3 linked regions of the Callithrix jacchus genome follow. The protein of the gene in region 1 purifies or fractionates together with the protein of each later gene. This does not show direct contact. Links are inferred from orthologs where the notes say so. Each region holds a gene or a part of one and is shown in the gene's direction. Other genes may lie near its edges. The genes, in order: ANAPC7, ANAPC16 and ANAPC2.

Region 1 (9,823 bases):
ACCAAACCGCCACTGAAAATGTTCTTGTCAAGATCCTCAATGACTTCCATTTTGCTAAATGCTATGGCTATTTCTCCATAGGAAGATGAATTTGTTTGTTTTGTTTACTGCTAAATCTCCATGGTCTAGAACAATTTGTGGCACACAGTAGGTGCAAAATAGACATGTTGAATGAATGTACAGTGAAGATGGAAGGAGAGTAAGGGGGAGAGAAGAGTCCAATTAACAATGAATATGCCATAATTGTGATTTATTCCGTTTATATAGTGCTTCATGATTTATAAACCATTTTATATATAATATGTCAAACCTTTTAATTAAATGAGCTATGACATAAGGTCATTGATTCATTCACCACACCCGGCCATAGATGTTTATATTTTAACAGTTTTATTGAGATATCATTTATTTTTTTGTCTTATCTTTATAAAAAAACTAATTCATGGCCAGGCGCAGTGGCTCACACTTATAATCCCAGCACTTTGGGAGGCCAAGGCGGGTGGATCACGAGGTCAAGAGATCGAGACCATCCTGGTCAACAAGGTGAAACCCTGTCTCTACTAAAAATACAAAAATTAGCTGGGCATGGTGGTGCCCACCTGTAGTCCCAGATACTGGGGAGGCTGAGGCAGGAGAATTGCTTGGACCCAGGAGGCAGAGGTTGTGGTGAGCCGAGATCATGCCATTGCACTCCAGTCTGGGTAAAAAAGAGACTGAGACTCCATCTCAAAAAAAAAAATTTTTAATTTATTTCGGCTGGGGGTGGTGGTTCACTCCTAAAATCCCAGCACTTTGGGAGGCTGAGGCAGGCAAATCACTTAAGGTCAGGAGTTCGAGACCAGCCTGGCCAACATGGTGAAACCCCATCTCTACTAAAAATACAAAAATTAGCTGGGCATGGTGGTGGGTGCCTATAATTCCAGCTACTCAGGAGCCTGAGGTGGGAGGGTTGCTTGAACCCGGGAGGAGGAGGTTGCAGTGAGCCAAGATAGCACCACTGCACTCCAGCCTGAGTGACAGAGCAAGACTCCATCTGAACAAAAAAAAAATAAATTTATTTATTGCAAAATTATACTTCTACCAAAGTAGAAGTATATTTTATGTAAAATCAACTTCCCCTATTTTATGCATACAATTCAATGATATTTAGCTGCCAATTTACAAAGTAATGCATTGATCATTACAATCCAGTTTTCAAACATTTCCATCACCTCCACAAAGACCCCTCCTATCCAATTGTAGACCCTCCCATTTCCATCCTTTACCCTGAGCAACAATTGATCTACTTTCTGTCTCTATCAGTTTGTCTTTTCCGGAAAGTTCATACAAATAGAGTCAGATTATGTAAACTTTTCTAGTCTGGCTTCTTTCGCCTAGCATAATTTTATTTTTAGCATATATTTGAGATTCATTCATGTTGTTTGTTTTTTTTAAAATGGTGTTCATTGTATGAATATGCCACATTTTGTTTATCTGTTCATCAATGAACATTTGAATTGTTTCCATTTTTGTGAACATAGATATGGTTTTAGAAAAAAAGTGTAATAGCAAACATTTGTACAGTGCTGCAAGGGAGCCAGAGATCACATCCAACCCCTCTTTTAGCTCTTAGTGGGTTCTTGAGCTGGATCTAGAAAACAAACTGACACCAGAAAGATTAACAAGAGAAAAGTGTACAAATTTTGTTCGTTTCACATGTACGGGGTGGCGGGGGGAGGTGCTACACAAGAATCTGAAATCTGAAGAAGTGGCCAAATGTGGGCGCGGTGGCAATCCCAGCACTTCCGGAGGCTCAGGTGGACGGATCACCTCAGGTCAGCCCACTGCTTCTTCCACGGAGGAATTCCAGACCCTAAATGAATTTAATACCAGTCTGGCCAATATGGTGAAACCCCATCTCTACTAAAAATGCAAAAATTAGCCAGGCTTGATGGCACATGCCTGTAATCTCAGCTACTCAGGAGGCTGAGGCAAGAGAATCTCTTGAACTTGAATCAGGGAGGCGAAAGTTGCAGTGAGCCAAAATCGCGTCACTGATCTCCAGCCTGGGTGATTGAGCGGGACTCCATCTTAAAAAAAAAAAAAAAAGTTTGGCCAGGCACGGTGGCTCACCCTGTAATCCCAGCACCTTGAGAGGCTGAGGCGGGCGGATCACCTGAGGTAGGGAGTTGGAGACCAGCCTGACCAACATGGAGAAACCTCTTCTCTACAAAAAATACAAAATTAGCTGCGGGTGGGGGCGCATGCCTGTAATCCCAGCTACTAGAGAGGCTGAGGCAGGAGTATCGCTGGAACCCGGGAGGCAGAGGTTGCGTTGAGCCAAGATTGGTCCATTGCAGTCTAGCCTTAGCAGCAAGAGCGAACCTCTGTCGCAAAAAAAAAAGTAAAAAAAATGATGCAGCTGGGCGCGGTGGCTCACGCCTGTGATCCCAGCACTTTGGGAGGCCGAGGCGGGCGGATCACAAGGTCAAAAGATCGAGACCATCTTGGTCAACATGGTGAAACCCCGTCTCTACTAAAAAAGATACAAGAATCAGCTGGTGCTCGCGCCTGCAGTCCCAGCTACTCAGGAGGCTGAGGCAGGAAAATTGCTTGAACCCAGGAGGCGGAGGTTGCAATGAGCCGAGATTGTGCCACTGCACTCCAGCCTGGCGCCTGGTGACAGAGAAGGCTCTGTCTCAAAAAAAAAAGATGTCCACCAAAAGCAAATTGAAGGTTACATCCAGGAAACGAGAGTAGGGGATGAGATGGGAAAAGGATCTGCAGAGCTTCGACTGTGACAAAATGTAAGAACTGAAAAAGTTGACTGGTGAAGATACACTGTGATTTTTTTTTATAGCATTTCTTTGCATGTTACTGTAAAAATCAAACGAAAACAAAATATAGACCAAAACGCCTGTCTCCTTCAAGAAAGGAGCAACAGGCTATATCTGAGAGGGTGATTGTGCAGAATATTCGGACTCTGCTTCATTCGCTGTTACCTCCTTGGTCCCTGTATACACTTGATTTTGCGATGCAACATATTTAACCACTCGATGGGATTCCAAGTCAACCATTTAACAACCTGAGCACAACATTTAAGCAGGCGGTTTCTTGCCCTGTGAGAAGGGAATGACAACTTCGACTTTATGGATTGGCTTGTGAACATCCAATAACTCGTGTAAAACTTCTGTAAAACGTTAACTGTGCTAGGCACATGCTGGTTTATAGGGGTATCAGCTCATTCCTGGATCCAGCCTTTATTTCCACGGATCTAGGGAGTCATTTCATAGGGTAAAATATGCCCCTCGAAACAAGGAGTTCACCCTAGGCGACAAGCCTGATTGTGACACAAAACATCTGAGGAGGGGCGCGGCGGCCCCTGCCTGGTGCGCATGCGCAACTGTAAAAGCCGTTAGGTCTGTCCCTGGCGCCCGATTAGAATATTTCATTCCAGTTGCAGCGTTTTTTTCCTCACCATTAATATATTTCTGGTACATGCCCACAGATTTTAATGTCTGAGAGGCACAAATTCCTCTCAGACGCATTCAAATTGACCGAGTAGTCTTATAAGGTTCCTTTTGCCTCATTGTAAATCCGCAGTAAAGTTTGCAGTTTAGGATGTGACGTAGTTTTTACGTAAAACTCACAACTCATTCCACCTGAAAGGAACCACGACGGGAGTAGAAATTCGAGTTTCTTTTTATACGGGCACTTCAGTAGTTACCTCTTACTTGGGGGAGGTGCCGCGTGTGGACCCGATGGACCCCGACGCCGCCGCCATTTTGGAGTTTTCCCTAAGGATCCTCTACCGGCTTTTCTAGTCACAGTTGCCGCCGCTGCCCGCGGCCTTGCAGGGCAGGATGAATGTGATAGACCACGTGCGGGACATGGCGGCCGCGGGGCTGCACTCGAACGTGCGGCTCCTCAGCAGCTTGTTACTTACAATGAGTAATAACAACCCGTGAGTTGAGGCGGGGAGCGGCCTGGGGCTGAGGAGAAAGCGGCGGCGGTCTGGGAGCGCGGGCTGAGGGCGCGTGGGAACAGGCGGGAAGGAGCGGCCGCCGGCGCCAGCGGAGGCTCCGGGGTCAGCGAAGGGCCTCGTGGAGCGGAGCGGACTTCGGAGCGCAAGTTGAGTTCATTGGGTGCCGGCGTTTTTGCAGGGCCCCGGCGTCAGCTCTCCGCGGGGATGTTGGCGAGCGGCGGCTTTGAGAAATGGAGGGCGGAGGCTCTGAGGACGACCCTGGCGAGGGTTTCCCGAGGCACCTGTCGCGGGGCAGCGCGACTGTCAAATCGCTAGGCTGAATCCTCCCTTCTTGGCTCCTTCCCGAAGAACTTTTTTTCTCGTTGCAACTCAGGGACCCAGCCTCCTGGTTTTGATGTCCTGGCCCCGCGTCTGATATTGGTACCCCCCGTTAAGTGTGTCAGGAGGATCTACTTTCTCGCCCTGGGAAACCCCTGAAAACGGGGCCTGGTGCGGTGGCTCACGCCTCTAATCCCAGTACTTTAGGAGGCCGAGGCGAGAGGATCGCTTGAGCCCAGGAGTTCAAGACCAGCCTGGGCAGCATAGGGAGACCCTGCCTCTACGAAAAACAAAAATTAAACAATTAGCCGGTGTGGTGCGCGTCTGCGGTCCCAGCCATTCGGGAGTCTGAGGCAGGAGGAGCGCTAGAGCCCAGGTAGTCGAGGCTGCAGTGAACTGTGATGGCATCACTGCTCCCTAGCGTGGGAAACACAACGACAGCCTGTCTTAATAAAAGGAAACAGGGCTGGGCGCGGGGGCTCACTCCTGTAATCCCAGCACTTTTGGAGGCCGAGAATCATGAGCTCAGGAATTCGAGACCAGCCTGGCCAACATGGTGAAAACCGTCTCTACTAAAAAAATACAAAAATTAGTCAGGTGTGGTGGGCGGGCGCCTGTAATCCCACCTACTCGGGAGTCTGACGCAGGAGAATCGCTTTAACCCAGGAGGCGGTTTGCAGTGAGCCAAGATAGTGCCACTGCACTCCAGCCTGGGGACAAGAGCAAGATTTGTGTCAAAAGTAAAATAAGAAACAAAGTGACGGGAGACTCCTTTGATGGGTGGGCGTGGCACCTTTTCGTATCCATGAAGCATGGGGCTGATTCCAGCCTCTGCATGTCCATCCTCTGCTTAAAATCCTTTGTTACACACATGAAAATTCTTTCCCGTGACCTCTGAAGGCAAACATCTGCCCTCCGCTCTCTGCAACTTCATCTCATTACTCTGTTCACTGTTCTTCAGCCTCCCTGGCTATTCTATTTTGTTTTTATTTATTTTTAGTTTTTTAGACAGATTTTCATCTCTCGCCCAGGTTGGAGTGCAGTGAGGCGATCTCAGCTTACTGCAGCCTCTGCCTCCCGGGTTCAAGTGATTCTCCTGCCTCAGCCTCCCGAGTAGCTGAAACTACAGGCCAGCGCCACCTTGCCCAGCTCGTTTTGTTAATTTTAGTAGAGACGGGGTTTCTCCATGTTGGTAAGGCTGGTCTCAAACTCCTGACCTCAAGTGATCCGCCCACTTCAGCCTCCCAAAGTACTTGGATTACAGGCGTGAGCCACCTAGCCTGGCCTCATTAGTGTGTTTTGTACCTCATTAGTGAGACCCATCATTTTGCCAACATCCACTTCATGTTGACAGGAGCCCTGGTCTAGGTCAGCCTTCTGTGTTTATCCCGGAGTCTTTCTCTTGGTTCTGAGTGATTTGTCAAACCATACAGTTTCCATGTTACTCTTAGTAGGCCCCAGTTACTCTTAGTTCTCAAAGATGTTACAGGATAGTTTGAAACAGTTTAATTTTCTGGCTAGACCAAGTTTAGCCCATGCTTTTTCATACTAGGTTAGATGGGCAGTTTCCTAGTTTCAGGACATGTTTAAGTTCTGACCTTCATAATTTATACTTTAAAATTTCTTGTGGAATAGTCAGTAGACACTTAAATTCAAACAGTGGAGAAGGGGCATGCAGATCAGAATCTTTCCCTGAGTCTTGAACCTCACCCCACCATTTCTCCAGAGGCAATAACTTTTTTTCTTTTTTTTGAGGCAGAGTCTCGCTGTGTCACCAGGCGCCAGGCTGGAATGCAGTGGCACAGTCTCACTGCAACCTCCACCTCCCAGGTTGAAGCAGTTTTCCTGCCTCAGCCTCCCGAGTAGCTGGGACTACAGGCGTGCACCACCACGCCCAGCTAAGTTTTGTATTTTTTAGTAGAGACAGGGTTTCACCGTGGTCTTGATCTCTTGACCTTCTGATTCACCTGCCTCAGCCTCCCAAAGTGCTGGGATTACAGATATGCGCCACCATGTCCAGCCGGTGCCTGTATTTTTTTTAAGAGGTGGGATTTCACTATGTTGACCAGACTTTAGGCTCAAGCAATCTTCACACCTCAGTGTCCTGAAGTGTTAGGATTACAGGTGTGAGCCACTGTGCCTAGCTTGTGGAGAAATTAACTATCTACAGAATTATTTGACTCACTTTGTTCTTTCATTATAAGCAGCTATAGTTTTTACTTGTCAAAGAAAAACAGTAAACTTCAGCCAGCTGTGATGGCTCACACCTATAATCCCAGCACTTTGGGAGGCCGAAGCAGGTGGATCATGAGGTCAAGAGAAATTAGCCAAACCTGGTGGCACACACCTATATTCGCAGCTACTTGGGAGACTGAGGCAGGGGAATTGCTTCAACCCCGAGGGCAGAGGTTGTAGTGAGCCAAGATCATGCCACAGCACCCTAGCCTGGCAACAGAATAAGACTCCGTCTCAAAAAAAAAAAAAAGAAAAACAGCAAACTACTTTCTTTTATTTGGGAAGGAATGAGATTGGAATTGAAAATATGAGTTCCACATTAGAAATAGTGACCAACTTCTAGTCACTTATAATTCTTTTTTTTTTTGGAGACGGAGTTTCGCTCGTTACCCAGGCTGGAGTGCAATGGCGCGATCTCGGCTCACCACAACCTCCGCCTCCTGGGTTCAGGCAATTCTCCTGCCTCAGCCTCCTGAGTAGCTGGGATTACAGGCAGGCGCCACCATGCCCAGCTAATTTTTTGTATTTTTAGTAGAGATGGGGTTTCACCATGTTGACCAGGATGGTCTTGATCTGTTGACCTCGTGATCCACCCGCCTCGGCCTCCCAAAGTGCTGGGATTACAGGCTTGAGCCACCGCGCCCGGCTCACTTACAATTCTTGACTAAATACTCAAGTTTTAAAACATTTGTTCAGGCTGGGCATGGTGGCTCATGCCTGTAATCCTAACACTTAGGGAGGCCGAGATGGGCAGATTGCCTGAGCTCAGGAGTTCGAGACCAGCCTGGCCAACATGGCAAAACCCTGTCTCTACTTAAAAAAGCCGGGCGTGGTGGTACATGCCTGTAATCTCAGCTACTCAGGAGATGAGGCAGGAGAACAGCTTGAACTTGTGGGGTGGGGGTTGCAGTGAGCCAAGATTGTGCCACTACACTCCAGTCTGGGTGACAGAATAAGACTCCGTTTCAAAAAAAAACGGCAGCGGCCTTGGATTGAAGGGGAAGAAAAGATGTATTACATTTTCTCTATGTACCTCCTACTGCATTTGATTCATAGGTATCATTGCTTTTATGTTAAGTAAAGAAAAATTGTATTGAACAATAGATATGTTTATCATATTAGCACAGAGTTCAGCTTCCACCTTTCATGCCTCTTTAGGGACTAGCACTTGACGTACATTGACTCTTTTGTAAACTGTCATTATACAAGGCTTTGTGCTAGGCTTATGTAGACACTAACAGTGTTCCTTCTAAAATTTCAAAATAACCCATGTAGGGGATATACTTTCTTTGTTTTCTAGTGAGTTATTCTCCCCATCTCAGAAGTACCAGCTTTTGGTGTATCATGCAGATTCTCTCTTTCATGATAAGGAATATCGGAATGCTGTGAGTAAGTATACCATGGCTTTACAGCAGAAAAAAGCCCTAAGTAAAACTTCAAAAGTGAGACCTTCAACTGGAAATTCTGCATCTACTCCACAGAGTCAGGTAATTGAAGATAGGATTGTGTGATTTTTTTTTTTTTTTTTTTTTTTTTTTTTTTTTTTTGAGAACGTCTCAGAATTTAGAATGGGGTCCCTAGGCCCCAGTGTCTGGTTTCTTAGGAACCAGGCTGCACAGCAGGAGGTGGGTGAAGGGTTAGCAAGTATTACTGCCTGAGCTCTGCCTCCTGTCAGATCAGCTGTGGCATTAGATTCTCATAGGAACACAAACCCTATTGTAAACTAGGCATGCAAAGATCTAGCTTTTGTGTTCCATATGATAATCTGACTAATGCCTGATGATCTGAGGTGGAACAGTTTCATCCTGAAACCATCCCCTCTCCCCCCATCTGTGGAAAAATTGTCTTCCTGTTGCCGAAAAGGTTGGGGACCACTGATTTAGACGATAGCCGTTTAGATGTAGAAGATGAGACCAGGCACAGTGGCTCACACCTGTGGTCTGAGGTGGGAAGACTTGAGGTCAGGAGTTTGAGACTAGCCTCAGCATTTTGAGACCCCTGTCTCTACAAAGTTGGGCGTGTTGGCACACACCTGTAGTTGTCCAGCTACTCAGGAGGCCAAGGTGGGAGGATCGCTTGAGACTAGGAGGTCAAGGCTGTGGTAAATTATGTTTACACCATTGCACTGCAGCCTAGGCAACAGCGAGACCCTGTCTCAAAAAACAGTTGCTGGGCCATATGATAACTATATTTAATGTTTTGAAGAACTGTCATACTATTGGAATAATGTTTCAAAAAGATGTTTTCATTGTCTCTTAGTGTCTTCCATCTGAAATTGAAGTGAAATACAAAATGGCAGAATGCTATACAATGCTAAAACAAGATAAAGATGCCATTGCTATACTTGATGGGATCCCTTCAAGACAAAGAACTCCCAAAGTAAGTTGAATGTTTATGTGTTTTTATCCTCAGCCCTCCTAACCCTGTTCGCTCCGTGTTTTCTCAAATTCATGTAAACATTTTACCCATGACTCTAATTCTCATTTTCTTCCTCTGTTCATGGAGTAGGGGTGGGGGTTCAGAGAGAGATGAATGACTTTTCTATGATATCCTGAAAATTCAGCTGATGAAAATGATAGCTGGAGAATACTACAAATGCTTATTCTTTTTTTTATATATATTTAATATTTTTTTAAGAGTCTCACTGTCACCGAGACTAGAGTGCATTGGTGTGATCCTGGCTCACTGCAACTTCAACCTCCCAGGCTTAAGCAGTCCTCCCACCTCTCTTAAATAGCTGGTATTACAATTGTATACTGCCACACCCAGCTAATTTTTTTAAATTTTTATTCATTTTTTTGAGACGGAGTCTTGCTCTGTCGCCCAGATTGGAGTGCAGTGGCGTGATCTTGGCTCATGCAACCTCCGCCTCCTGTGTTCAAGTGATTCTCCTGCCTCAGCCTCCTAAGTAGCTAGGATTACAGGTGTGTGCCACCATGCCCAGCTAATTTTTGTATTTCTGTTTAGTAGAGATGGAGTTTCACCATGTTGCACAGGCTGGTCTTGAACACCTGACCTTGTGATCCTCCCACTTCAGCCTCCCAAAGTGCTGGAATTAATGGTGTGAGCCACCACACCCAGCCTTGATGTTCTTAAATGAGGATCTGTTTTAAAAGTAACTTACTCTTTCCTCCCCTCCCCTTTCTTCCTTTCTTTTTTTTTTTCCTTCTTCCTTTCTTAGAGCCTCACTCTATTGCTAGGCCGGAGTGCACCGGCACAATCTTGGCTCACCGAAACCTCTGCCTCCTGGGTTCAATTGATTCTTCTGCCTCAGCCTCCCAAGTAGCTGGGACTACAGGCGTGTGC
Region 2 (9,723 bases), on another chromosome or scaffold:
AAGATTGAAAATGTCTGCTGAGCAGAGTGGCTCAGGCCTGTAATCCCAGCATTTTAGGGAGGCTGAGGCAGAGGATCTCTTGAGCCCAGGAATTGGAGACCAGCCTGAAGAATGTAGTGAAACTTCATTTCTACAAAAAATAAAATTAATGGGGTGTGATGGCACACACCTGTAGTCCCAGCTATTTGGGAGGCTGAAGAAAGAGGATAATTTGCACTCAGGAGGTCAAGGCTACAGTTAGCCAAGATCATGCCACTGCATTCCAGCCTGGGAAATAGAGCAAGACTCTGTCTTCGAAAAAAGAAAACATCATTAATCAATTTGCTTTTTTTTTTTGAGACACAGAGTCTTGCTCTGTCACCAGGCACTAGGCTGGAGTGCAATGGCACGGTCTCAGCTCACTGCAACCTCCACCTCCCAGGTTCAAGCAATCCTCCTGCCTCAGCCTCCTGAGTAGCTGGGACTACAGGTATGTGCCACCACACCCAGCTAATTTTTGTATTTTTAGTAGAGACAAGGTTTCACCACGTTGGCCAGGATGGTCTCCATCTCTTGACCTCGTGATCCGCCCTCCTCGGCCTCCCAAAGTGCTGGGATTACAGGCGTGAGCCACTGCGCCTGGCTTCAATTTGCATTTTTGCTGACAGTCTAGTTATAGTAGTTGCTTTACTGTTCCCATATCCCACTTCACTATTAATCAGTGTTACTTGTAATGAAATCAGAAACCAAGCTCTGCTTCTCTAACAGCTTTAAATCATCATCACAAAATTAAGCAAACAAAACAGCCAATGTTTCAAGACATACTATATCATTTTCATTACTAGAAAACTGGATTTTATATATATATATATATATATATATATATATATATATATATATTTGTATTTTATTCCCTCACTCTTTTCTGTTATCAAAAAACATGACCAGGTGCAGTGGCTCATGCCTGTAATCCCAGCACTTCGGGAGGCTGAGGTGGACAGATCACCTGAGGTTGGGAGTTCAAGACCAGCCTGGCCAACATGGGGAAACCCCGTCTCTACTAAAAATACAAAATTCGCCAGACATGGTGGCGCATGCCTGTAATCCCAGCTACTCGGGAGACTGAGGCAGGAGAATCACTTGAACCCAGAAGGCAGAAGTTAAATGAGCTAACATGGCACCATTTCGCTCCAGCCTGGGCAACAAAAGTGAAACTCCGTCTCAAAAAAAAAAAAAGAAAAGAAAAGTTTCAGACAGGCATGGTAGCTCACACCTATAATCCCGATACCTTGGGTGGCCAAGATGGGAGGATTGCTTGAGCCCAAGAGTTCCCGACAAGCCTGGGGACAACATGGTAAGAAGTTGTCTCCACCAAAAGTAAAAAAAAAAAAAAAAATAATTAACTGGGCATAGTGGCATGCCCCTGTGGTCCCAGCTACTTGGGAGGTTGAGAGGTTGGAATATTGCTTGAGCCTAGGAGGTTGAGACTGCAATGAGCAATGATCAGGCCACTGGACTTCAGCCTGGGTGAGAGAGTGAGAACCTCCCTAGAAAAAATAAATATATTTCAACTTTTTTTTTTTCTTTGAGATGGAGTTTCACTGTTGTTACCCAGACTGGAGTGCAATGGCACGATCTCGGCTCACCGCAACCTCCGCCTCCTGGGTTCAAGCAGTTCTCCTGCCTCAGCTTCCCAAGTAGCTGGGACTACAGGTGCGCACCACCATGCCCAACTAATGTTTGTATTTTTAGTAGAGACGGGGTTTCACCTTGTTGACCAGGATGGTCTCGATCTCTTGACCTCGTGATCTACCTGCCTCAGCCTCCCAAAGTGCTGGGATTATAGGCATGAGCCACTGTGCCCAGCCTCAACTTTTTATAATAAATATGTTCATGTCCAACTAACAAAAAAAGCGCTAATGAAAAGTATTCAGGCTGGTCTGGGTGCAGTGTTGTTACACTAACTGATCACAACCCGCTACAGATATCTTTGTTCCTTTTTCACTCCCACTGCTTCACTTGACTAGCAAAAAAAAAAAAAAACTCAGCTAAAATTCTCTCTGACCATTTCAGAGGGATATTCATTTTACAGTCCCCGTTTTTGGCACAATCTCAGCTCACTGCAACCTCCACCTCCCAGGTTCAAGTGATTCTTCTGCCTTAGCCTTCCTAGTAGCTGTGATTACAGTTGTCTGCCACCACACCCAGGTAATTTTTGTATTTTTAGTAGAGATGGGGTTTCTCAATGTTGGCCAGGCTGGTCTCTAACTCCTGATCTCAGATAATCCGCCCATCCCAGCTTCCCAAAATGCTGGGATTACAGGCCTAAACCACCATGCCCGGCCTACAATCCTTTTTGAAATAGTTTTTTTAAGTAGGCTAAAATTTGCATAACATAAAATTAACTATTAGCCATCTTAAAGTATACAATTCAATATAAAGTTATTTTTAATATAAATACTAGAACTTTATCCATTACAGCAGCCAGTAGCCACATGTGGTAACTTAAATTTTAGTTAACATTAAATAAAATTTAAAATACAGAAATACACTTCTTCAGCCACACCAGCTTATAGGTGCGACATGAAGCTAGTGGCTACCATGTTGTGCAGTGCAGAAATAGAACACTGGAATCTTTCCATCATGGCAGAGAGTTCCATTAGACACCATGGCACTAGACCATTTTTTCTTTTTCTTTTTTTTTTTAAATGGAGTCTGGCTCTATCGCCCTTCCTGCCTCAGTCTCCTGAGTAGCTGGGATTACAGGCACCTGCCACCACACCTGGCTAATTTTTGTATTTTTAGTAGAGACAGGGTTTTACCATGTTGGCCAGGCTGGTCTTGAACCCCCCAACCTCAGGTGACTGTCCGCCTGAGCCTCCCAAAGTGCTGGGATTACAGGTGTGAGCCACAACACCCAGCCATTTTTTCTTTAAAAAATACTATATACACTTTTTTTTTTTAAGATGAAGTTTCACTCTTGTTGCCCAGGCTGGAGTGCAATGGCACGATCACGGCTCACTGCAACCTCTGCCTTCCAGGTTGAAGCAGTTCTTCTGCCTCAGCCTCCTGAGTACCTGGGATTACAGACATGTGCCACCACGCCCAGCTTATTTTTGTATTTTTAGTGGAGACAGGGTTTCCCCATGTTGTCATGCTGGTCTTGAACTCCTGATCCCAGGTGATCTATATACACACCCGGCCACTATATACACTTTTTTGAGGGCTCAGCACAGTGAGACTTTGGGAAGCCAAGGTGGGAGGATCACTTGAAACCAGAAGTTAAAGACCAAAGTAGGCAACATAGCAAGACCTCATCTCTAATTAAAAAAAGAAAGAGACGGGGCACAGTGGCTTATGCTTGTAATCTCAGCACTTTGGGAGACCAGGGTGGGCGGAGGACTTGAAGTCAGGCATTAGAGACCAGCCTGGCCAACATGGTGAAACGTATCTCTACTAAAAATACAAAAATTAGCTGGACATGGTGGCTCCTGCCTGTAATTCCAGCTACTCAGGAGGCTGAGGCAGGAGAATCATTTGAACCCAGGAGGCAGAGGTTGCAGTGAGCCAAGATCATGCCACTGCATTCCAGCGTGGACAAGAGCAAGACCCCGTCTCAAAAAAAAAGGAAAGAAAATACTGTAAACACTTTTTAGAATCTATTGTTAAAGTCCTGTAAGCTTCTGTGGTAAAGGGAGTGTTTTGTTTTGAACTTTCGTAAGGTGTCATGTATTCAGTACAGTTTTCTTGTTAACATTTGAATTTTTTATGTGAAATACGATTAAATACAGCTGCTCTGTTCATACTAGACTTTGATTTCCAAGATCATTTTCTGAACTTTTTTTTGTTCCAGTTTTGGGACGCCACCAAGTGATAAATTTGGGTATTACATTTGGATGAAAAGGTTAATTTTTTTTTTTTTTTTTTTTTGAGATCGAGTCCTGCTCTGTCACCTAGGCTGGAGTGCAGTGGCACGATGTTGGCTCACTGCAACCTCTGCCTCCCGGGTTCTAGCCATTCTCTTGCCTCAGCCTCCCAAGTAGCTGAGATTACAGGTGCCTGCCACCACGGCCAGCTAATTTTGGGGGGTTTTTTGGGTTTTTTTTTTTTTTGGTATTTTTAGTAAGAGACAGAGTTTTGCCATGTTGGCAAGGGTGGTTTCGAACCCCTGACCTCAGATGATCTGTCCACCTCTGCCTCCCAAAGTGCGAGATTACAGGCGTGAGCCACTGCGCCTGGCCAAAAGATTAATTTTTAATGAGAAGGCCAAGATATATTTCCTAACTAGTTCCCCTTCCTTGGGAACAGAACACAGTGTTATTCTTAAATTTTATTTGGAAAATATTATAGGTGAATTTCTTGATGTGGCTTGATCAGGATGAATCCAAAACAAACTGTCCTGTGAAGTGTGGTGGTTTTATCCTCATATAACTTATTTTTTCTGTCAAATTTCTGCTTTATTGCTGCCATACCACCTCTTCATAACTCATAAATCACCCACAGTTGATCTCAGTTGACATAAACTGTTTGCTAATGGTAGGAATTTGTGTTTTAAGTGTACATACTATTCTTAAGCGTATTTTCAGTTCAAAACCTGACATTTTGGCCTGAGACATCAATAAAAGATTGTGAAAGTAGAGAGGGTAGAAAAAAGCGGAGCTAACTCTTAACAAAACTGTATGCTGGCCCTTATGGCAGCTAAAATGAAATGTCACTCTCACTTCCATAAACTTACCAATTGCTGTTTTTTCTCTGTAGTGAAGTAAGAATTCTACTAGAGAGGAAATGGCTGCTTCATCCTCCTCCTCCTCAGCTGGTGGTGTCAGTGGAAGTTCTGTCACTGGATCTGGTTTCAGTGTCTCAGACCTTGCCCCACCACGGAAAGCCCTTTTCACCTACCCCAAAGGAGCTGGAGAAATGTTAGAAGGTGATCTCATGCTGCTTTCCGAATAATTGGATTCAGACCTGCAATGAATATTAATTGTAAAGAAGCTATTAAGTGGATTAAAGATTAGTTTGTCCTGATTTCAGCCCCATATTTTATCTCTTGTCCCCATCTCAAAATATCTTTAAAAACAAATATTGCGGCCAGGCGCGGTGGCTCACGCCTGTAATCCCAGCACTTTGGGAGGCCAAGGCGGGTGGATCACGAGGTCAAGAGATCGAGACCATCCTGGTCAACAAGGTGAAACCCCGTCTCTACTAAAAATACAAAAATTAGTTGGGCATGGTGGTGCACACTTGTAGTCCCAGCTACTTGGGAGGCTGAGGCAGGAGAATTGCTTGAACCCAGGAGGCGGAGGTTGCAGTGAGCCGAGAATGTGCCATTGCACTCCACTCTGGGTAACAACAGCGAAACTCCGTCTCAAAAAAAAACAAAAACAAATCTTGCTCTGGAATCAGAATTTTTGAGCTGAAAAGGACTTTGGAAATCAAGGAAGTCATCTAGAGTTATTTAGATCCAGAAAAGTTAAGTGATTTGACCATGTTAAAGGCAGAGTCAGGGCTGGGCACGGTGGCTTACACATGTTATCTCAGCACTTTGGGAGGCCGAGGCAGACAGATCACTTGAGGCCAGTAGTTGGAGACCAGCCTGGCCAACAAGGTAAAACCCCATCTCTACTGAAAATATAAAAATTAGCTGGGCTTGGTAGAACGCACCTATAATCCCAGCTACCAGGGAGGCTGAGGCAGGAAAATGGCTTGAATCTGGGAGGTAGAAGTTGCCAGGTGCTGAGATCGTGCCACTGCACTCCAGCCTGGGTGACAGGGTGAGACTCTGTCTCCAAAAAAAAAAAAAAAAGGCAGAGTCAGCACTGAAACCAGGAATTCTCTTGACCTCCTACTCGAGTTTGCTTTATCCTGGCACCTGTCTACCTCCCCATGGTAGTAGGTTTGATGTATATTTTTCTAGTGGGACTGATCTACAGATAGATTCACCCTGTCAGGAAGGTTCTAAGAGGAAATAAAAGCTAATGTATTGCCCTTTTATGTGAACATGACTCCTGACCCACCGCAGGATGATGCTATGTGGTTTTTTTAGCCCCAGAGCCAGATTTACATCAAATCTTTCACCATCTTATTCAGCACCACTGGCCGGCTATACAGGCTATAAGCATGTTACTTGAAGAGCTACACAAATAATTCTTCACAGGAGCATAAAAATCATCCAAAGAGCTTATTTAAAATGCACATTTCTGTCCGGGTATAGTGGCTAACACCTGTAATCCCAGCACTTTGGGAGACCAAGACGGGTAGATCACCTGAGCTCAGGAGTTCAAGACCAGCCTGGCAAACATGGTTAAATCCTGTCTCTACTGAAAATACAAAAATTAGCCAGGCATGGTGGCAGGTGCCTGTAATCCCAGCAACTTGGGAGGCTGGGGCAGGAGAATCACTTGAACCTGGGAGGCGGAGGTTGCAGTGAGCCAAGATCCCACCACTGCACGCCAGCCTAGGGGACAGAATGAGATTCCTTCTCAAAAATAAAAATAAAATGCATATTTCTGGGCCCACCTTAGTGCTTCTGAATTACTCTACAGTATAGCTCAAGAATGCATCTTTTACCAGCATCCAGGGCCTTCTCTTGAAGGCAGTCTTTCATATTTTGAAAAACATTGGGACCAGGAATGGTGGCTCAAATCTGTAATTTCAGCACTTTGGGCAGGGAATCCAAGGCATGAGAATTGTTTGAGGCCAGGAGTTCAAGGCTACAATGAGCTATGATCATGCCATTGCACTCCAGCCTGGGTGACAGAATGAAACTGTCTCAAAAAAATAATAAATTTTTTAAAAGCATTGGGAGGCTGGGCACAGTGGCTCACGGCTGTAATCCCAACACTTTGGGAGGCCAAGACAGTCAGATCATGAGCGAGGTCAAGAGATCAAGACCATCCTGGTCAACATGGTGAAACCCTGCCTCAAGAAGAATTACTTGAAACCAGGAAGCAGAGGTTGCAGTGAGCTGAGATCGTGCCACTGCACTCCAGTCTGGCAACAGAGTGAGACTCCATCTCAAAAAAAAGCATTGGGAAAGAGCCTATTAAAGATTCAAAATTTACTTGATTCTAGCATTTTAGTGCTTAATTATATATTGATCTTTTTTGCTTTAAGTATTGCAAATTTTTTTTTTTTTTGAGACGAGTCTCACTGTGTCGCCCAGGCTGGAATGCAGTGGTGCAATGTCAGCTCACTGCAACCTCTGCCTCCCAGGTTCAAGCAATTCTGCCTCAGCCTCCTGAGTAGCTGGGATCACAGGCGCCCGCCACCACACCCAGCTAATTTTTGTGTAATTTTAGTAGAGACAGGATTTCTCCATGTGTTGCCCAGGCTTGTCTCGAACTCCTGACCTCAAGTGATCTGCCCGCCTCAGCCTCCCAAAGTGTTATGATTATAGGCGTGAGCCACCGTGCCCGGCCTTAATATTGCAAATTTACACAAATATATTTTAAAACTAGGAATATCTGTGAAAAAGATACAAACTATAGGCCAGTGATTCACACCTGTAATCCCAGCACTTTGAGAGTCTGAGGCAGGCAGACTGCTTGAACCTAGGAGTTTGAAACAAAATCCTGTCTCTAGAAAAAAATGCAAAAACTATCTGGGTGTGGTGGCATATGTCTGTAGTCCCAGTTACTTAGGAAGATGGGGTGGGAGGTTCACCTGAGCCTGGGAAGAAGAGGTGCAGTGAGCTATGATCACATCACTGCACGCCAGCCTCTTGTCTCAAAAAAAAAAAAGATATAAACTATAGATATAAGATATATTGGCCTTGGGGGTGATGAATAATCAGAAATAATTAAAAGAGTTTTGAATTAAGCCAGTAGATGACCAGGTAGTGTATGTAATTAGTGATACATATACTTTGCTCTTTGCCTTTTTAATTGTGTTACCTAAATACTCAAGTTAGTATCACTGAGTCTGGTTGGAAGTAGTGAAGAACTGGGGCCCTGTTTACCATATTTGGTGCTAAAACTATATTATGACTTCTTTTATATGTAGTAGCAGAGACCTAGTATTAAGGAAGTTTCCCACAAAACAAAAGTGGAAGACACTTAAATTGCTTAATGAGTTTTATAGCAGCAGAAGAATCAGTATTCAATAATGGAGCTCTAAGATTAAAGTCATTTAAGTTCTAGCTATAAGAGGAATTTAATACAGGAGGCACCTCCACAGTCTCAAAGCTATCAGCATTCTTTGTCAGTATACACCAAATTGTGGGGAGATATTGAAGAAGAAAGGCTTCTGAGATTAGTCTGAATGTTGATGTTCTAATGCGTTATAGAGCTATCCATTTTTATTCCATCTCAATATGCTTCATGCATGGAGAAATGTGTTGGGTCTCTGTTGTAGGATACATTTATATTAAGTGTAAATACACAGTGCCCAGTTTTGATTCTTAGATTTCAAGTTTTACCAATAATCTTAAAGCTGCTTAAACTTAAAAATGTGAAAAATAACATAGAGAAGCTTAATTATATATTGGATTATTTTGCTTTAATATTCTTAGTCAAATCAAGAATATTAAGTTGAAAAGAGTACTCTTAAATGTGCATGAAGATATTGGATTTGCTACCATGTTTATAGGTGATACTATTCTATTATACAATTAATCTAACACACATGTACCTGACCAATAATAGTTTAATAGAATATGAAAATAGAGCAAGAAGGGTTACCTGTCAAGAGTAAGGTAAGGAACAAAAGTAGTTAGGAATCAAGGATGGATGCTGGGTTTTTTTTGTTGGTTTTTTTTTTTTTTTTTTTTGAGATGGAGTCTCATTCTGTTGCAAGGCTGGAGTGCAGTGGTGCAATCTTGACTCACTGCAACCTCTGCTGCCTGGGTTCAAGCGATTCTCCTGCCTCAGCCTCCCAAGCAGTTGGGATTATAGGTGCCTGCTGCTATGCCGAGCTAATTTTTATAGTTTTAGTAGAGACGGGGTTTCACCATGTTGGCCAGGCTGACCTCAAACTCCTGACCTCCTAATCCACCTGCCTCAGCCTCCCAAAGCGCTGGGATTACAGGCATGAGCCACTGTGCCCAGCCAGATGCTGTTTTTAATCTCAACAGGTTCAACTTGTTGTTATATCTCATGAGTATAGGATAGTAAACCAGATTACCTGTAGTTAACCTTGTGAATTAACTTTTTTGTGCATCTGCTCTCTGATAACGAACATCTCACATAAGCAGTATATAGCAGTTTTCAGCATTCTCCTGCCCTTGGCCAAAATTGTCTTCACCCCGTTATTAGTGAGCAAGTTAGAGACTGCCTCCCAGCCCACTAGTGGCCATATTTTTGTGACATTGTAAGCCACTGAAGCATAAATTGTCTGCATTGTCTAATTTCCTACTGTGAGGTAATTTTTTTAATGTATTTGTTACCATCTTTTTTTCCTCGAGACGGAGTTTCGCTCTTGTTACCCAGGCTGGAGAGCAATGGCCCGACCTCGGCTCACCGCAACCTTCACCGCAACCTCCACCGCAACCTCCGCCTCCTGGGTTCAGGCAATTCTCCTGCCTCAGCCTCCTGAGTAGCTGGGATTACAGGCACGCACCACCGTGCCCAGCTAATTTTTTGTAATTTTAGTAGAGACAGGGTTTCACCATGTTGACCATGATGGTCTTGATCTCTTGACCTCATGATCCACCCGCCTCGGCCTCCCAAAGTGCTGGGATTACAGGCGTGAGCCACCGTGCCCAGCCTACCATCCTTATTTATTGGAGTTGGTGATGGTGTTAGATTT
Region 3 (9,723 bases), on another chromosome or scaffold:
TTCTTTGAAGGGAGTTGGGACTGGCCAGGTGGTCTGGGGTGTTGAGACCTGGTTCTCTCAGAACACACTACCCAGCAGGGAGGGCCTGTGAGCAGGGAGAGGCTGGGACGGGGGTATGGGGGAATGGGGGGATGGGCAGACGAGGGGAGCAGCTTCTGCGGTCATATTGGTCTCCTGGGAAAGGAGGCTGCAGCAGGGATCTGTAGACAACCTGACCGGTGTGGCCAGCAGCCCACTCAGGCGTTGGCCCCTGGGAGGCACTGCATGACCACCGGCATCTCCCCGGCTGTAGGCGTCAACACGTGTGACATCATCACCCTCTACATCTCTGCCATCAAGGCGCTGCGCGTGCTGGATCCCTCCATGGTCATCCTGGAGGTGGCCTGTGAGCCCATCCGCCGCTACCTGAGGTGAGGGCTGCAGCTGGCCCAGGAGCCACGGGGACCCCAGGTGTCCTGCTGAGCTCCCGGTGGTCCTGGGGGCAGCGGAGGGTGTGCTTGGCCCTCAGGATACAAGGTCTCCCCCAGCTGGGCTGAGTGTACGGGCTCAGGCCCAGGGCTCCTTCCTTTACTCTTGCCTGTGCTGGGCACCTGTCCTTGTCACATGGTGTCACCGTCCCCTCTGTGTGCAGCTACCAGAGGCCCCCCTGCAGCCCTTCCGTGGCCTCCCCTTCTTCAGCACAGAGAGAAGCTCATCTGCTCAGCCTTGCCTTGGCGCTGACCAGGCCCCCACGCGCCAACCAGGCAAGGAGAATGGGCTCTCCTTGCCCATTCTCCTTGTCCGTCCCAGCCTTTTCCACGGCAAGGAGCAGGCACTCCCCGGGCTGTTCGGTGGAGAATGTGTTGGAATGAGGGCCTTGCCACAGCTGCCTGGAAATTCCTCGGGAGTCGAAGAGGCCCCGCGGCCCCAGGCCTGAGCAGCAGGAGCCACTGGGACTCCGGCGCCTGTCTGGACTTGTTCGCTGCTTTGTGGCTGTAATGGGCCTGGCTTCTGGGCTGGTTCTTTTTCTAAAGTTTTTCCTATTTTTGAGACAGGCTCTCACTGTGTCGGAGTGCAGTGGCAGAATCAACTCTGCAGCCTTGGGCACCTGCCTGGGCTCAAGCCGTCCTGCCTCAGTGTGCCACAGAGCTGGGCCTGTGGGCACACAGGCTAGCCTTGCCCTCACAGCTCCTGCTTCCCAGGACCTGTAGCGCCGAACCCGAACCTGTAGCGCCGGGTTCGTTCTTCAGGGAGTCTGACAGGCCTGTCTTTAGTGCACAGCTCGTCATCGGTGGCTGTAGAGGCAGGGGTGGTGGTGCTGGCCTAGACGGGGCGGGGCTGGCGTGGGCAGTGGGAGGGGCATGTGGGGTATCCATACCATGGGCCACAGCAGTGCTCATGCCGGCAGGACGCGGGAGGACACGGTGCGGCAGATCGTGGCCGGGCTGACGGGGGACTCGGACGGGACGGGGGACTTGGCCATTGAGCTGTCCAAGACTGACCCAGCAAGCCTGGAGACGGGCCAGGACAGTGAGGATGACTCGGGCGAGCCTGAGGACTGGGTCCCAGACCCCGTGGACGCTGATCCAGGTTAGCTTGCCCCACAGCATCCATTTCGCCAATGGATGGAGGCTTCGGCTAGGCCAGCCACTCTGGGCTCCTCTCTGGCCGCATAGCTTGGTTGTGTCACGTGTGGCCAGTGCCCCAGAGGCTTGAAGGGGTCCAAGGTCAGGGCAGTGCTCCACCCCCGCCGGCCTGGGCAGGCCCAGGGTGGGCTATGTCCCTCTGTGGCTGGTCACTCTAGCCATGGGAGGTGCCCTTCCTTCCGCCCCTTGTGAGCTGTGGGGTGTCCCCTGCCCCGCCATGACATCTGGCAGAGGAGTGAAGGAAAACGTGCATGGCCCCTGCACCCGCTGCTGGTGTGGGCCTCAGAGTCCCGTTAGGTGACAGCTACTGCTCAGGGCCCATCTGTCCCTGGCCGCAGTGTGCGGAGCTCTGAGAGTTGTGGGACCCCTGCCTGGCCCCAGCCCTGGCCCAGATGGTAAGTCTTCACTGTCTTTAGTCTTCCTCAGAGGAAAACCCCAGAACCTGTGGCTTGTACCCTAAGCCTACTTGAGGGTCCGGGGAGGTCCCTGTGAGACGGGAGGGGCTGGGGATCGAAGCTGCTGCCCTAGGATGCGACTCCTGGTCTCCTGGGAGGTGCCGGGCTGCTCCCAGCCTCGAGGGCCTTCAGGAAAAGCCATGCTGGGCTATGCCTCGGGCATGGTGGGATGGGAGGGGGGTGCCCTATCCTTGCCAAGGTGCCTATCAGGTGACACCCCTGCCCCCGCTGTGCCAGGGAAGTCCAGCTCCAAGCGGCGCTCCTCAGACATTATCAGCCTGCTGGTCAGCATCTACGGCAGCAAGGACCTGTTCATCAATGAGTACCGCTCGCTGCTGGCCGACCGCCTACTGCACCAGCTCAGCTTCAGCCCGGAGCGGTGAGGCCAGGGAGGCGCCAGCCGTCTCCAGGGGTGCTGGGGCCCTTGCTGAGCCTGTCAGGACAGGGCCTGGGCCTGGTTGGACTGTGTGCCACCCCCACTCCTGGCTGGGGCTGAGCTGGCCGCCGGGGTGCCACGCAGGCCCCCTGCTCTGCCCGGGAGGTGCACCCATGACTGCTACAGGTGCTGCTTGGGACTGCAGCCCCTGCGACCCCCGCCCAGACACTGGTTCGTCTCTCCAGGGAGATCCGCAACGTAGAACTGCTGAAGCTGCGCTTTGGCGAGGCCCCGATGCACTTCTGCGAGGTCATGCTGAAGGTGGGTCCCGCCTCGCCCACCGCCCGCCACCCCCAGGCCCCCGTGACACCAGCTCCTCCCTCAGGATATGGCGGACTCCCGCCGCATCAATGCCAACATCCGGGAGGAGGACGAGAAGCGGCCGGTGGAGGAGCAGCCGCCATTCGGGGTCTATGCTGTCATCCTGTCCAGTGAGTTCTGGCCGCCCTTCAAGGATGAGAAGCTGGAGGTCCCTGAGGACATCAGGGCAGCCCTGGAGGCTTACTGCAAGAAGTACGAGCAGCTCAAGGTACCTCCAAGCCAGCCACCCCACAGGGCTCTCTGCACCTCACCCTGTGCTGCGGGCTCAGCAGCCTGGTGCCTATGGCCACCCCATTGTCTCCCGAGTGTCTAGGGTTGGTTATGTCTCACAGCCATCCCTGCAGGAGATGGAGTGGGCCCAGTCCACACTCCCTCTGCCTTCCTCACAGTGAGCCTGTGCCCCCTGTGAGCCAGCGTCCCTCGGCCCCACAGGTGCTCGGGTGGGCTGTGCTAGGCCCACATCTCCTGTGCTGCTTCACGGGGACTCCCGTGGCTCCAGCAGGCCGCACCCACTGAGCATTTCCTCCTCTTCTGCCATCTGCCCTCTGCCTCTCAGAACCAGGACTTGGGGTGCCTTGTGTCACTGCAGGTGAGGGCCAGGGAGCCAGGGCCACCCTCTGCCCAGGGCAGCGCTCCCAAGCGCACCTGACCCTGGGGCCCCAGCCCTGCCCCTGTTTCTAGATATTTCCCGGAGAACTGCATTTGCAGGTTCCCATGGTGCTTGAGGACCAGGGCTGTGGGACTGTGGTGGGAGTCGGGGGGAAGCAGACGTGGGGACTGGAGGAGCGAGCCCTGGCCTGGAGGTGCTGGCAAGTGGGGCCAGCGTGCCCAGAGTGGTGGTATCGGCCGTATTTGGCTCACGTCTCCTGGCAGCACCACCAATCCCAGCAGTCCCAGAACAGGTATCCAGGGCCCTGGGTATGGGACCACGCTTGGAGGTTTTTTCCCTGAGCTCATGTTCAGGTGAGATGTTTTGGGTCGAGGGAAGAGGTTAGGACCCCTGTGCAGCCAGGTCCCAGGGCTTTCAGTCTGGTGTGTGGGGCCCGTGAGGCCTCCGGTGTGCCCAGCGAATGCTCAGGCCTGGGGGGAGCTGAGCACCCCAGCAGGGGACACGTGAGGAGAGGGTCCTGGGGCAAAGCTGGTTTCCAGGCTGCAGACCCCAACCCCAGGAGGGAGATGGGCCAGCCGCAGCCTGGGCCAAGGCCGGCAGGTGGGGCTGAGTTCAAAGGAGGGTCCCCAGCTTCTCCAGGCCTGCTGTGACAGACGCTGGGTCTAGATGTGTTTCCTTTTTTTATCTGCCAAGTGAGAGGGCCTTGCTGTGTTGACAGACTAAGGAAGCTTATTCCTAGGGGAGGGCAAGGTGATGAGTCCACTTTAGAAACTAAGGGGGAAGTTGCAGAGACAGACAAGGGGAGGGCCAGGTAGAGGCACCCGGGGCAGGAGGCGGAGGTTGGGCCAGGCTGCTGATCTTGGTGGCGAGTGCCTGCTGCCTCCCTCCAGGCCTCAGCTTGGCTCTGGAAGAGTCCAGGTATCCCCCGCAGCTTGCCTGCCCCGGTGGAAAGGAGGGCCCTGGCCATCCCCCCACCTCCAGCTCCAGCCTGTGTCTCCAGAGTCTGCGGGCACCGAGCCTCCCCCGCCCCCTGCCCCCCGCCCTGCCATGTTCTGGTACAAGTCATTGGTGTGGCCGGGCTCCATGCACAGTCCCTCTCCCACTGACCCTCTGGCTGCCTCAGGCTCTCCAGTGCTGTTTCTGGGCGAGGCTCCCCTGGCCTCCCTCCAGGGTCCCCCTGGGATCCCAAGTGTGGCTCAGCCACTTCCCATTCCTCGGGCCTGACGTCCTGGGGCAGCCATACTCCAGTGCCCTTTGTCTTCACTTCACGGGATACAGGATGGCTCAGGAAGGTGCCGGGCTGTGCTGAGAGGTCCCACTAGCAGAGCTCCTGGCCTAGGGGCCTCGCTGGGCACATGGCTGGCATGCAGCCCTTTGCATCTGTACCTTAGGCACTTTGCTGGGCATGTGCTGGCATGTAGCCCTCAGCATCTGCACCTGAGCTCACTGGGCACATGGCTGGCATGCAGCCCTCAGCATCTGCACCTGAGCTTGTTGCTCCTGAGCCCTTCTTCCATTCTGGTGCAGGCTGATGAGTGGTGTTCGTGGAGGTCACGGCCCTGGAGCCAGAGCCAGGACCAAGGCCAACCACTGACTCCACCTCTATCTTCTGTCCGTAAAGTGGGGTTCGTTTCCTTTAAGAGCTGCCAGATTGGCCTGGCGGGGTGGCTCACGCCTGTAATCCCAGCACTTTGGGAGGCCAAGGCGGGTGGATCACGAGGTCAAGAGATCGAGACAATCCTGGTCAACATGGTGAAACCCCGTCTCTACTAAAAATACAAAAAATTAGCTGGGCATGGTGGCGCGTGCCTGTAATCCCAGCTACTTGAGAGGCTGAGGCAGGAGAATTGCCTGAACCCAGGAGGCGGAGGTTGCAGTGAGCCAAGATCGCACCATTGCACTCCAGCCTGGGTAACAAGAGCGAAACTCCGTCTCAAAAAAAAAAAAAGAGTTGCCAGATCCTGGAAGGGCTTAGGAGCCTGTGGCCCACAGAGCAGGCGTGTCAGTGCCCTGGTGCCACCAGAACAAAGTGCCACAAACCAAGGGGCTTAAAAGACCAGAAATGTATCATCTTATAGAGGTCAGGGTGAGCAGGGCCCTCTGGAGGCCCTAGGGGAAGGCTGCTTCCTTGCCTCTACCAGCTCTCTGGGGGCTGCAGGAGCTCCGGGGCTTGTGGATGGCTCGGTCCAGTCTCTGCTGCGTCGCCCGGAGTGTTCCCCTGTTCTGTTTGTATCCCCCTCTTGGACACTCACTCTACTCCAGGGTGACTTCATCTTAATTATATCTTTAATGACCATATTTTCAAATAAGATCACATCCGGGGTTCAGGGAGTTAGCAGTTCATGTGTCTTTTTTGGAGGGGCACATAACAACAATCTGCCCCATGGTGGGCCCTCCCACATGCAAGTTACAATTATACCCAGTATTCCCAAAAGTCCTCACCATTTCAGCCTCAAGTCCAAGTCCAAAATCTCATCTAAATACCATCCACACGAAGTCCCACATCTCAGCATGTAAATAGCAACTAAATGAGGTCCAGGTGAGACTTGGGGTGTGTCCGTTCCTTTCCAGCTTGGATGCTGTGAAATCAGGCAGCAGATGCTCTCTTTCAAAAATTCAACGGTAAGACAAGCATAGAATGTCTCTTCCCACCCCAATAGGGAAAACTGGAAGGAAACAGGGTGGCAGGTCACCCCAAGTCCAAACCCAGCAGCCAAATTCAATTTGATGCCACGGCCTGCGAATCCTGGGCTCAGTGCTCCACCCTTGGCCTGCGGGGTCAGCCCCACCCCGTCAGCCTTGGCCTCTGCGTCGGCGGCTCTGCTCTTGGAGCCTGCCTGCCTCTCAGTCCAGCCTGGCAGCATTTCTGCTGGTAAAGTTCTCACAAACCTCGTTGGTTTCTCTCTTGTGCAGTTCACCAGTGTCCAGGCCCCCTGCGGCCCTTACCTGGAGCCCCACCTGCCCGTCTCCTGCTGAGACGGTTGGATGTGCAAATCACACCTCATCTCTTGCAAATCCTGGTCCAGCCACAGCTTTAGCTGTGTCTCAGAGCTGCCTGGATCATCAGAGCATTTTTCAAATCTCCAAGGGCTGGTGCCTTTTTGCTTAATGTTTCCGTCCTCACTGATTTTTCCCTCTTGCATTCTGCTATTAAGTGGCAAGGAGAAGCCAGGCCTCACCTTCCACGCTGCCTGTAAATCTCAGCTGAGCCTTCAGGCTCATCAACTGCAGCCCCACTTTCCATCCAGCAGCAGAGCACCAGCCCGCCAGGCTCTCTGCTGCCTCCTCCGGCCACAGCAGCGCGCTCACTCTGCCCTAGACCTTACTAGAAGCACCTGTTAGGGGGTCCATTCCTGGTGTCACGTTTCAGCAGCGCCCTTCCTGGTAGCAAAATCTGTTTATTTCTTGTGGCTGCTGTAGCAAAGTGTCACAAACTGGGTGGCTTTAAAAAAACAGAAATAAACTGCCTTGGTTCTGGAGGCTGGAAGTCAAGATTAAGGTATTGGCAGGGCCCTACTCCCCCAGAAACCTCTTAAGAGATTGTTGCCCTCCAGCTTCTGGCTTTTGCCACAGCCCTTGGTGTTTTCTGGCTTGTGGCCGCGTGGCTCGTCGGCCTCTGTCCTCATGTGACCCCTCCCGCCGCCCGTGTCTTCCGTCATCCATCCTTTCCTTAGAAGGACTCCAGTCAAGCCGGGCATGGTGGTTCAAGGCTGTAATCCCAGCACTTTGGGAGGCCGAGGTGGGTGGATCACGAGGTCAAGAAATTGAGACCATCCTGGTCAACATGGTGAAACCCCATCTCTACTAAAAATACAAAAAATTAGCTGGGCATGGTGGCGCATGCTTGTAACCCCAGCTACTCAGGAGGCTGAGGCAGGAGAATTGCCTGAACCCAGGAGGCGGAGGTCGCGGTGAGCCGAGATCGCGCCATTGCACTCCAGCCTGGGTAACGATCGAAACTCCGTCTCAAAAAAAAAAAAAAAAAAAAAAAAAGGACGCCAGTCAGTTGGATTAGGCTGCACCCACGCCAGTGTGACCTTGTCCACTGTTTGCCAGTGCAGCCACGTTTCCAAGCACGGGGGGGTTAGGATGCACAAAAAGCTTTTCCGGGACACATCTTGTGACACTGGCCCCGTTGCTGTTTTGTGGTAGCTGAGCAGGTGGGGCCCACCCAGTCCTGTGCTCCCGCTGCTCACCTGTCTGCCGGGGGCAGGGTGGGGCAGGCAGCTCTGAGAGCCCTTCGTCACCCGGTTCCACATGGCAGAGCCCATGAGCCTCGGCCCCCTGCAGCCGAGCCACCCACACTGACCCCAGCCCTCCTTAGGCCATGCGGACCCTCAGCTGGAAGCACACTCTGGGCCTGGTGACCATGGACGTGGAGCTGGCTGACCGTACACTGTCTGTGGCAGTCACCCCGGTACAGGCGGTGGTTCTGCTGTACTTTCAGGACCAAGGTGAGTCCACCGGCCCCCAGCTGGTCTGCTCTGGCCCCACGGCCCTGCCATGGGTGAGGGGTTGCTCCCCAGTGAGGGTGTGGTTTGGGGCAGCCAAGCCAGCAGGCAGCACCCTTACTTTTCCCACGGGCAAGGTGGGGGGGGTCTGGGCCTCCGACCTCTGGGCTGACAGGAGGCAGGGGAGGGGCAGCCCATCTGCAGGCTGCCCAGGGTCTTGGTCACTCTTCATGCAGCCAGCTGGACCCTTGAGGAGCTGAGCAAGGCGGTGAAGATGCCCGTGGCACTGCTGCGGCGGAGGATGTCTGTGTGGCTACAGCAGGGTGTGCTGCGAGAGGAGCCCCCTGGCACCTTCTCTGTCATCGAGGAGGAGCGGCCTCAGGACCGGGACAGCATGGTCCTCATCGACAGTGATGACGAGAGCGACTCGGGCATGGCCTCCCAGGCAGACCAGAAGGAGGAGGAGCTGCTGGTGCGCGTGCGGGGCCCATGGGTGGGGTGGTGGGGGTGCGGCGGGGTGGGGTGAAGGCCTGCTTGTGCCTAGCAGCAGCCCCAGTGGGCACCTGACGGGGGCTGGCCGGTGTGTGCAGCTCTTCTGGACCTACATCCAGGCCATGCTGACCAACCTGGAGAGCCTCTCGCTGGAACGCATCTACAACATGCTGCGCATGTTTGTGGTGACCGGGCCTGCGCTGGCTGAGATCGACCTGCAGGAGCTGCAGGGCTACCTGCAGAAGAAGGTGCGGGACCAGCAGCTCGTCTACTCGGCCGGCGTCTACCGCCTGCCCAAGAACTGCGGCTGACGCGCCTGCCCACCTGCCCATCCATCCGCCGCCCAGCCCTGCCCTGCAGGTGCTCTCCTCCTGTGCCAGCCCCCACCCACGTGTGTCCCAGAAGGCACCGCACAGGGGCACCCCATCCTCACCCCACAGTGTGCAGATTAAAGCAGTAAGGTCATCCTTTCCTGTCCTGGTGGCTTTGTGGGGCTCTTGGGGTCTCCCGCTAGCCTGGGCCTTTCTACCTCAGCCTGGCAGGGTCTGCTCCCCGGCAGCAAGTGAGGGGCCCACCCAGGCCTGCACATCTGCAGCAGGAATGTGGCCTCCTGAGAGTATCCTAGGCTACCCCCGGCTCAGGCAGGAAGCGGTGCATGAAGGCTCACGTCACGCCTGGGCCACAGCTCAGGCAGCCACGTCCTACCCAGGGCTTGGTGCCACTTGCCGGACCTCCAGCTCCACCCTGCGCCCGTGGCCTTTGGAAGGAGTCCTGGGGTTGCCCTCTGCTCAGCTGGTGCCCACTCACGTGCCAGGCTGTGAGGCTGGGGGTATGGGGAGAGGCTGGGGTGTGGGGCGAGGCTGGGGGTCTGGGGCTTGGCTGGGGTGTTGTGTGGGTTCTGTTGGAACTGCTGGGCTTGTGGATGACCCCTTGGCCAGCGTTCCTCCTCTCCGGCAGCAAGGCTCTGCTCCAGGGCCTGCCCTGCTGGCTGGGTATTTGTCCCCTGCTCCACACTCGGGCAGGGTGGCCGCAGCACTCAGGCTCACAAGTGTGCCTCGGAAGGCAGATCACCCACCCCTGTGATCCCCACACGTGCTACCATGCATGAGCAGGCTGCCCAGGTCCCATCCAAGAGGCTGCACTGGGAGAGGGAGATGCCATCAGGCTGAGCGAGGGCCCTAGGGTCTAGCTCTGGGCTCTTCTGCTGCTAAAGCCCGGGCCTCTGTCCTAGAGGGGCTGTTCCCAGGCCAGCCACATTCCACCCCACGGCACCATCCTTGCAGGGGATAAAGGCGGTATAAAACTGGTGCCTCAAGTCCCACTCCTGCTGCAG

What was found.
Region 2: the proteins of ANAPC7 (region 1) and ANAPC16 purify together in Homo sapiens (affinity purification with mass spectrometry; 6 studies listed by BioGRID and IntAct, with this or other methods). This does not show direct contact. The link is inferred for Callithrix jacchus from reciprocal best matches to the Homo sapiens genes ANAPC7 and ANAPC16.
Region 3: the proteins of ANAPC7 (region 1) and ANAPC2 fractionate together in Homo sapiens (co-fractionation; 6 studies listed by BioGRID and IntAct, with this or other methods). This does not show direct contact. The link is inferred for Callithrix jacchus from reciprocal best matches to the Homo sapiens genes ANAPC7 and ANAPC2.

The regions. Positions count from the first base shown.
Region 1 is NC_133510.1:113,300,437-113,310,259, reverse strand, and holds the start of ANAPC7 (anaphase-promoting complex subunit 7), read left to right. Parts: upstream 1-3,758; 5' UTR 3,759-3,842; coding exon of another isoform or gene 3,843-3,943; 5' UTR 3,944-4,683; coding exon 4,684-4,838; intron 4,839-7,792; exon of another isoform or gene 7,793-7,817; coding exon 7,818-8,004; intron 8,005-8,776; coding exon 8,777-8,896; intron 8,897-9,823. UniProt on the Homo sapiens protein: Component of the anaphase promoting complex/cyclosome (APC/C), a cell cycle-regulated E3 ubiquitin ligase that controls progression through mitosis and the G1 phase of the cell cycle.
Region 2 is NC_133513.1:57,940,145-57,949,867, reverse strand, and holds part of ANAPC16 (anaphase-promoting complex subunit 16), read left to right. Parts: intron 1-339; exon of another isoform or gene 340-345; 5' UTR 346-469; intron 470-1,569; exon of another isoform or gene 1,570-1,692; intron 1,693-4,714; exon of another isoform or gene 4,715-4,737; 5' UTR 4,738-4,764; coding exon 4,765-4,906; exon of another isoform or gene 4,907-4,944; intron 4,945-9,723. UniProt on the Homo sapiens protein: Component of the anaphase promoting complex/cyclosome (APC/C), a cell cycle-regulated E3 ubiquitin ligase that controls progression through mitosis and the G1 phase of the cell cycle.
Region 3 is NC_133502.1:185,586,121-185,595,843, reverse strand, and holds the end of ANAPC2 (anaphase-promoting complex subunit 2), read left to right. Parts: intron 1-292; coding exon 293-410; intron 411-1,387; coding exon 1,388-1,569; intron 1,570-2,317; coding exon 2,318-2,459; intron 2,460-2,701; coding exon 2,702-2,777; intron 2,778-2,841; coding exon 2,842-3,045; intron 3,046-5,715; exon of another isoform or gene 5,716-7,771; coding exon 7,772-7,901; exon of another isoform or gene 7,902-8,134; coding exon 8,135-8,370; exon of another isoform or gene 8,371-8,488; coding exon 8,489-8,701; 3' UTR 8,702-8,857; downstream 8,858-9,723. UniProt on the Homo sapiens protein: Together with the RING-H2 protein ANAPC11, constitutes the catalytic component of the anaphase promoting complex/cyclosome (APC/C), a cell cycle-regulated E3 ubiquitin ligase that controls progression through mitosis and the G1 phase of the cell cycle.